Callithrix jacchus: one gene and its partner. The protein of the gene in region 2 interacts with the protein of the main gene of each other region in a pairwise test. Links are inferred from orthologs where the notes say so. Each region holds a gene or a part of one and is shown on either strand. Other genes may lie near its edges.

Evidence for each region. The genes of interacting proteins can lie anywhere in the genome.
Region 1: the proteins of NIPBL (region 2) and MAU2 interact in binary tests that used the Homo sapiens proteins (3 or more experiments, as listed by UniProt). The link is inferred for Callithrix jacchus from reciprocal best matches to the Homo sapiens genes NIPBL and MAU2.

Annotation. Positions count from the first base shown.
Region 1 is NC_133523.1:18,018,839-18,022,486, forward strand, and holds part of MAU2 (MAU2 chromatid cohesion factor homolog), read left to right. Parts: intron 1-883; coding exon 884-911; intron 912-1,269; coding exon 1,270-1,425; intron 1,426-2,547; coding exon 2,548-2,694; intron 2,695-2,781; coding exon 2,782-2,872; intron 2,873-3,648. UniProt on the Homo sapiens protein: Plays an important role in the loading of the cohesin complex on to DNA. Forms a heterodimeric complex (also known as cohesin loading complex) with NIPBL/SCC2 which mediates the loading of the cohesin complex onto chromatin.
Region 2 is NC_133503.1:168,571,200-168,574,847, forward strand, and holds part of NIPBL (nipped-B-like protein), read right to left. Parts: intron 3,123-3,648; coding exon 2,979-3,122; intron 398-2,978; coding exon 308-397; intron 1-307. UniProt on the Homo sapiens protein: Plays an important role in the loading of the cohesin complex on to DNA. Forms a heterodimeric complex (also known as cohesin loading complex) with MAU2/SCC4 which mediates the loading of the cohesin complex onto chromatin.

The sequences.
Region 1 (3,648 bases), on a different chromosome or scaffold from region 2:
TCTTAACATAGAAGGGGCTTGACCATCTTGGTCCAGGACAAAGAACAGAAATGGCATTTCAGGCCAGGTGCGATGGCTCACAGTATATTCCCAGCACTTTGAGAGGCCAAGGTAGGAGAATCACTTGAGCCCAGGAGTTCAAGACCAGCCTGGGCAACATAGTGAAATGCCATCTCTACAAAAAATATAAAAATTATGAGGTGCAGATTTGAGCCTGACATTCAAGCCTGCCCACTGGCCCCCACCCTCTGTGTCCATCACTGCCAAGTTTTTTTCTAGAGATAGGGTCTCACCATGTTGCCCAGGCTGGTCTCAAACTCCTGACCTCAAGTGATCCACCCATCTTGGCCTGCCAAAGTGCTGAGATTACAGGCATGAGTCATTGCACCCGGCCACCTTCTGGACTTTAGACATGAGTGCATCTAAGCCATTCAAGAAAAATAAATACAGGCTAGGTGTAGTAAATCACTTGAGGTCAGGAGTTCTAGACCAGCCTGGCCAACATGGTGAAACCCCATCTGTACTAAAAATAAAAAAACTAGCCAGATGTGGTGGCACATCCCTGTAGTCCCAGCTATTCAGGAGGCTGAGGCCGGAGAATCACTTGAACCCGGAAGGCAGAGGTTGCAGTGAACCAAGATTACACCACTGCCTGGGTGACAGAGCGAAACTCTGTCTAAAAAAAAAAAAAGAAATATAGATATAATAGGATAAAATAGAGCAGTCTTGTAAATATAACAAACTTCATCTGGGACTGTTCACTGTTGTCCACTGAACTGTCCCCCGAGGTGGCACATTAGGTCCTGTGAGCCTTGGGGCAGTCACAGTCATCCCAGGAGGCCCCTGGGTCTTCCGGGACCTGACCCCCGCCTCTGTTTTGCAGGGCGCTGTTCCTCCTCAGCAAGGGGATGGTAAGTTGAGGTTGGGCATGGCTGGATGCGGCTGGTGTTGTGGAGGTGAGGCAGGGCCCCCACAGAGTCTGCTCCGACCCCACTTGCTCTCCATGGCATCGCCCCTCAGGCACAGTGAGCAGCCTAGAGGGTGAGGCCCGGGCCTTGCAGGGTTCAGGAGGGAAGCTCAGGCTCCGCCCAGTGGGATTCATGCTGAGGCAGAATCCTAGTTAGGAGCTGTCTGGGCCGGGGTTTCAGGCTGGCCTTGCCCTCTGGGTTGGTGGCAGCAGTCCCAGGGCAGGTGGGCAGCCCCGTGCTCCTGGTCCAGGGAGGGCCCCTGCAAGCCACGCACCCCATGCCAGCACCTCTCCCTCCCCAGCTGCTGCTGATGGAGCGCAAACTGCAGGAGGTGCACCCACTGCTGACCCTCTGTGGGCAGATCGTGGAGAACTGGCAGGGGAACCCCATCCAGAAAGAGTCGCTGCGTGTCTTCTTCCTGGTGCTCCAGGTCACCCACTATCTGGATGCCGGGCAGGTGCGTGGCGCCTCTCGGGCGAGCTGCTGGTTGTGACCAGTGGGTATGGGTGGCACCCAGGCCAATGGGTCTTGGGCTGTGAGGTCAGCTGTGTTTGTCACACAGCAGGGCTGTCATTCCAGCCCCAGACACACACACTCTTGGCCTGCTCTGGTGCGAGTGCTGGCACCATTGTGCCTGCCTGGTGTGTTAGTGTGGTGCCTGCAAGCAAGGTCTATCCCGGCCACCCCACCCTTTGGGAGTATGATGTGTGACATTGCATATACTCACTCAGCATGTGGACGCTCAGAGATTCCAACTGCAGTTCAGGGAATCATGAGAATAAAGCATGGATGCACTGGGGTGGTGCCTGTACACAGCAGATGCTCAAGTGATATCTGTCTGGTCCCCCTGCTGTGGGGTTGAGCAGGGACTAATGTGCCCAGCCATGTCGAGACTGGACTCTGTGACCCTACTGTGGGTGGGGAACGGCTGTGTTTGAGCTCCTTGTCTCTGCTTGTATGACAGCCTTGACCCTTCAGGGGCTGGGAGCTGCTCTGTGCCCCTCAGACCTACCCCTCTTGCCATGGGCTGCAGGCAAGCCTCTCCACAGGGCTTGGTAAGGGGGTTCCCCAGTTCCCCCATCCATACCCATCATTGCCCATTGGGTGAAGCACTGCACTTGGCACATAGGGACACAGAGCAGACTGTAGCCACACTTCTCTTGGGGTGCCAAGGCTGCAGAGACGTCCCTCGGGGCTTCAGGACGAGATGGGTCAGTCTGTAAGAGCCACAGCGCCTGCGAGACTCCCACCCCCTGCAAAGCACTTGGGTCTGGCTGCAGGAAGGGCAAGAGCAGCTCCAGCAGGGTCTGGACAGGCCTCTCCTGGGCCTTGGTGTTGGGCCCAGCACTGGGCAGTGGACAAACTTCAGTCCCATAGCTGCCTGCCTGGCCCTGCCCCTGCCCTGACAGCCCAGCTGATCCATGGGAGTGCAGCGGGGGTGGGTCCATCTTGCAGGAGGTGGCCATGGCAGAAGGGGAAGGCAGGTGCTCCCTGGAGGAAGGGGCAGGGGTGGCTGGGCTGGGCCTGGCCTCCTGAGAGGCCAGGCTCAGGTGGGCACTCAGGTGTGGGTGCTGCGCAGGTAAAGAGCGTGAAGCCGTGTCTGAAGCAGCTGCAGCAGTGTATCCAGACCATCTCCACACTGCACGACGATGAGATCCTGCCCAGCAACCCCGCCGACCTCTTCCACTGGCTGCCCAAGGAGCACATGTGTGTGCTCGTCTACCTGGTGCGTCCTGCTAGGGCCAGGGCTGGGGGCGGGGGCAGGGAGAGGGAGAGGGCCCTGGTAACCCCTGCTGTCTGGTCTTGTCGCCAGGTGACTGTGATGCACTCCATGCAGGCAGGCTACCTGGAGAAGGCACAGAAGTACACGGACAAGGCTCTCATGCAGCTGGAGAAGCTCAAGAGTAAGTCAGGTGCTCGGTTGGCCACGTGGCCACAGTGCCCCCTGGCGGACGGCCTGGCCAGATGCCGGCTGTGCCAAGGCCCAGTGACCCTGTGTGACTGCGCTGCCTTGCCTGGTGGGTCTCGTCACCCCAGTTGATAAATGCTGGTGACCAACATCAGAGCAGAGCAGACTGGCCTGGGGTGGGAGGTACCCCCCTGAGTGGTCAGGGCCCTTGTACCCAGTTATGCTCAGTTGAAACAGGTGGTGGCTGCTTTTCCTGATTATTATCAATGTTGTGATGGGGACACTTGGGATGAGGCCAGGATTCGAATTCAGTCCTCACTGACCCCAGCATGTCCCTTGGAAGTCCTGAGTTCTTTCCAAATGCTCAACTGTCTAATCCGTTCAGGGATTTTGACTAGCACAAACCCAGAGCAGATGTCTCTGGCTGGTGCAGTGTGCCTGAAAGTCTGCCTGTTTGCACCCTCGAGAGTGCTGCTCAGGGAGAAGGCATCAGAGTCAAGCCAGCTTGGAGCCTGAGAGGCCTCTGCTGCTCTTTGTAATATTCCCATGTGAGGTTGGCTGCTTGGGGCTGCCAGGAGGTAGGGTCCGGCCCAGGTCCCCCCACCCCCTGCCTGAGGCTCTGTTGCATGTCTCATGATCCGGGGTGGTTTCCACATTTGTAGAACCTATTGTGTCCACAAGCTATTGAGCACATAGAGTGAGGGGTGAGGGTCAGAGCCAACCCCTCTTGGAACACTGTGGAAACCAACCTCTAGCTCCCGCTCCATTTTC
Region 2 (3,648 bases):
TCTCACGTACCACTTGGCCCATACTCACTCTGAGGACCTAGCCTAGTCTCAAAGATCCCTTATGGAAAGACTTCCAAATATTGCTCTTATCATACAATTTTAGTACAGCGCAGTATCTGTAACCAGAATTCTATATAAGACAAATCAACCCAAAGCATTTTTTTCTCTTTAGATTATCAAGTATCCCTTTGTTTCAAAAATCAATATTCCAAACAACTTTTCCTCTTCATCATGCTACCTCCCAATTTTCTTAAACCCAATTTAAATAAACATGTAATATCTCCAAAAAAGGGGAAAAGAATCCTACCACTAGTGAAGGGTCAGTCTCAGTATTTTCATCCAAGTAATCAAGCAATGCTTTTTGTAATTGTTGGATTTCATCTTCCCCTCCTGAAACCTACAGAATAAACCAAGTAAGAACAAAAAAGATATTACTGGTATACTTTAATAAATCATCTAATTTTAAACACAAATCTGAGAAAAGACTGATTCTAAAAATAAAAACACAACCACAGTAACTAAAAGGAAAAAACAGAGAAATATTTCTGAAAAATATTATATAGTGATAGGTGAAGTCTGCACTATCTTGGCTCACTGCAACCTCTGCCTCCTGGGTTAAAGCAATTCTGCTGCCTCAGCCTCCCTAGCAGCTGGGACCCCAGGCGTGCTCCACCACGCTCGGCTAATTTTTGTATTTTTAGTAGAGACAGGGTTTCACCATGTTGGTCAGGCTGGTCTCAAACCCCTGACCTCAAATGATCCACCCTCCTTGGCCTCACAAAGTGCTGAGATTATAGGCGTAAGCCACTGTGCCCGGCCTGCCTTCATGTCTTTTTTTTTTTTTAAAGAGCTCATAGGTAGCTGACATAAAAATGATCAGAACAATGTGTTATTCCTCAGAGGTAGGAAGCACTTGCTTTTGGAAATACGTGTTGAGAGCCATAAAAATTGACAAATGATTCTTCCCCTTGTGGATAATCAACATAGCCATACATGGCAATAAGAGGTTCCAGACCCATTCTAAGAAATACAAAAAGTCATTCAGCAACTGGATCTTGGTTTCTACATTACAATTCACCAATAAAAGGAACCAAGATTCCTAGGAGAAACAGCTGATCCCAGGGCTGGGGTAGGGAAGGTAAAAGATCTGTCTGAAACATCTTTTTGTGCTAGAAAGAAACTCAAATTATGATGGGAACATAGCAAAGGGACTTAAAAGCCAGCTTCAGAGGGTTCTCACTGATCAAATCTAGGATGATTTGAGCATTAAAATAATGACAGCAACAAATTATAATTTATTAGAGTAGGTATTATATTACGTTAACATAATACTGATAATTTTTTGCTTTTGATAATTGTACTATAGATATTTCAGTGAGAGCTCTTGTTTGCAGAAATAAACACTAAGCAGTGGCTCTCCAAGTTCAGCATTCATTCATTAGAATCACCTCGAGGGCTTCTTAAACGAAGAATTTTTGATTCAGTAGGTCCAGGGAGGGTCGTAACAATTTGTATTTTTGTTAGAAATGTACTTGTTAGTTCCAAAATGATTTCAGTGTTGGTGCTACATGTCAAGGGGATCACACTTTGAAAATCACTACATTAGAGAATTCAGGAGTAATGAGGGAATCACGTCTGCAACTTAACTTCAAGTGGTTTGAAAAAAATAAAAAAAAATGCATATACAGACACACATACATCTACATTTTGAAAGATGATAAAGCAAATTTTACAAATTATCAATAATTAAGAAATTTGCAAGAAGCATTTATGGGAGTTCTTTGTACTGTTCTTACAACTTTTCTCTAAGGTTGAAATTATTTCAAAACACGTAGTAAAAAAAAATTAGAGGCATTTCTACCAACATGGATATGATTATGAACATAAAAAAAGACTAGAAAAAAAATGAAAACAGTAGTTGTAGATAGTAGGATTAGAAATCATTTCCGCACCAATTTTCTCAAGGAATTTATTACTAACCACTTCGTCCACATTAAAAAAAAAAAGAAGAAGCAATAAAACACTTTTTCCTCCACGATGAAAACTCTCTAATAAAGTATAAAGAAGCTCTCCTTGGCTGGGTGCATTGGCTCACACCTGTGATCTCAGCATTTTGGGAGGCTGAGCGGGGCAGATTATGAGGTCAGGAGATCGAGACCATCCTGGCCAACATCGTGAAAACCCAACTCTACTAAAAACACAAAAATTAGCTGGGCGTGGTGGCACATGCCTGTAGACCCAGCTAATCAGGAGGCTGAGGCAGAAGAATCAGTTGAACCCAGGAGGTGGAGTTGCAGAGAGCCAAAATCCTGTCACTGCACTCCAGCCTAGTGACAGAGTGAGACTCTGTCTTTAAAAGCATCAACAACAAAAAAATTTGAATAAACTTTATGTAAACCCAAACATAAAAAGCATTATACATTTTTTTTTTTGTTCTGAGACAGAGTCTTGCTCTGTCACCAGGCTGGAGTGCAGTGTTGCGATCTTGGCTCACTGCAACCTCCACCTCCCGGGTTCAAGCAATTCTCTTGCCTTAGCTTGAGTACAAGCACGCACCACCATGTAGCTGTGGCTACAGGCACTCACCACCATGCCCAGTTAATTTTTGTATGTTTGGTAGAGACGGAGTTTTACCATGTTGGTCAGGATGGTTTTGATATCTTGACCTCGTGATCCACCCATCTTGGCCTCTCAAAGTGCTAGAATTATAGGCATGAGCTACTGTACCTGGCCTGCATTATACATTTAACAGTACTTCACAAAAAGAAACTAACTGAAGATTTATATGAACCAGTCCCTGTTAGACTAAATAATTCATTCTCCGGTCTTAAAATTTCTCACTGGAGCTTTGAAAAGCCCACTTTTGGAAGTAAAAATTTTATTATGAATCTACAAAATGAAATGTGAAACTAATGTGAGGACATCCAAAGAATATAACTATTATTTACTCCCATAATTTTAATCCTTTATCTTAGTACCTGTTTTAAAATGCGTTCTATAGATCCTTGATCCATTTTGCTTGTAACAGCATCTTTCCTCAGCCGGGCAGCAACAGTTCCAAGGTAATCAAGAGATGCCACTCTTAAAGCCATCTCTGTTGACTTGTTACTGAACTGATGAACCTAAATATCAAAATAGTTTTTGATTTATAATATATCTTAAATAGCAATTTATCATATAAATTTCCAATCTAAATTGTACATTTAAAATTTAAACTTTTTTTTCCTGTGATTCTGTCCCATAAAGTAATTTTTGCCTTCTAATTCTCTGTAATCTGAATATTTTCATGTGACTAAAGAAATTACAGATTAAATTTCCTTAAGAACAACATAACTTTTTAAATACGCAGGCTCAACTGTGTATTTGCACAAAATGTAGCATTACTGAATAAGAATTTCTTAGGGTGTAATTCTGATGCCTGTAAAACTTTATCATACTTTCAGAATAGTATTAACATATTTTCCAGTTCCCAAAAAGGTCCCAGAAGTTTTGTAACAGTGTGTATTGTGCAAGTTGAAATGTAGTTTAAAAATAAAGAGAAGTCACAATATTTCTTTGCATTTACCTACTGCATTACATGAGGACTACAAAGTGCCATATATTTGTAGAAATACTCTTATGATAAGGAGTCTACATTAATCATTTTCA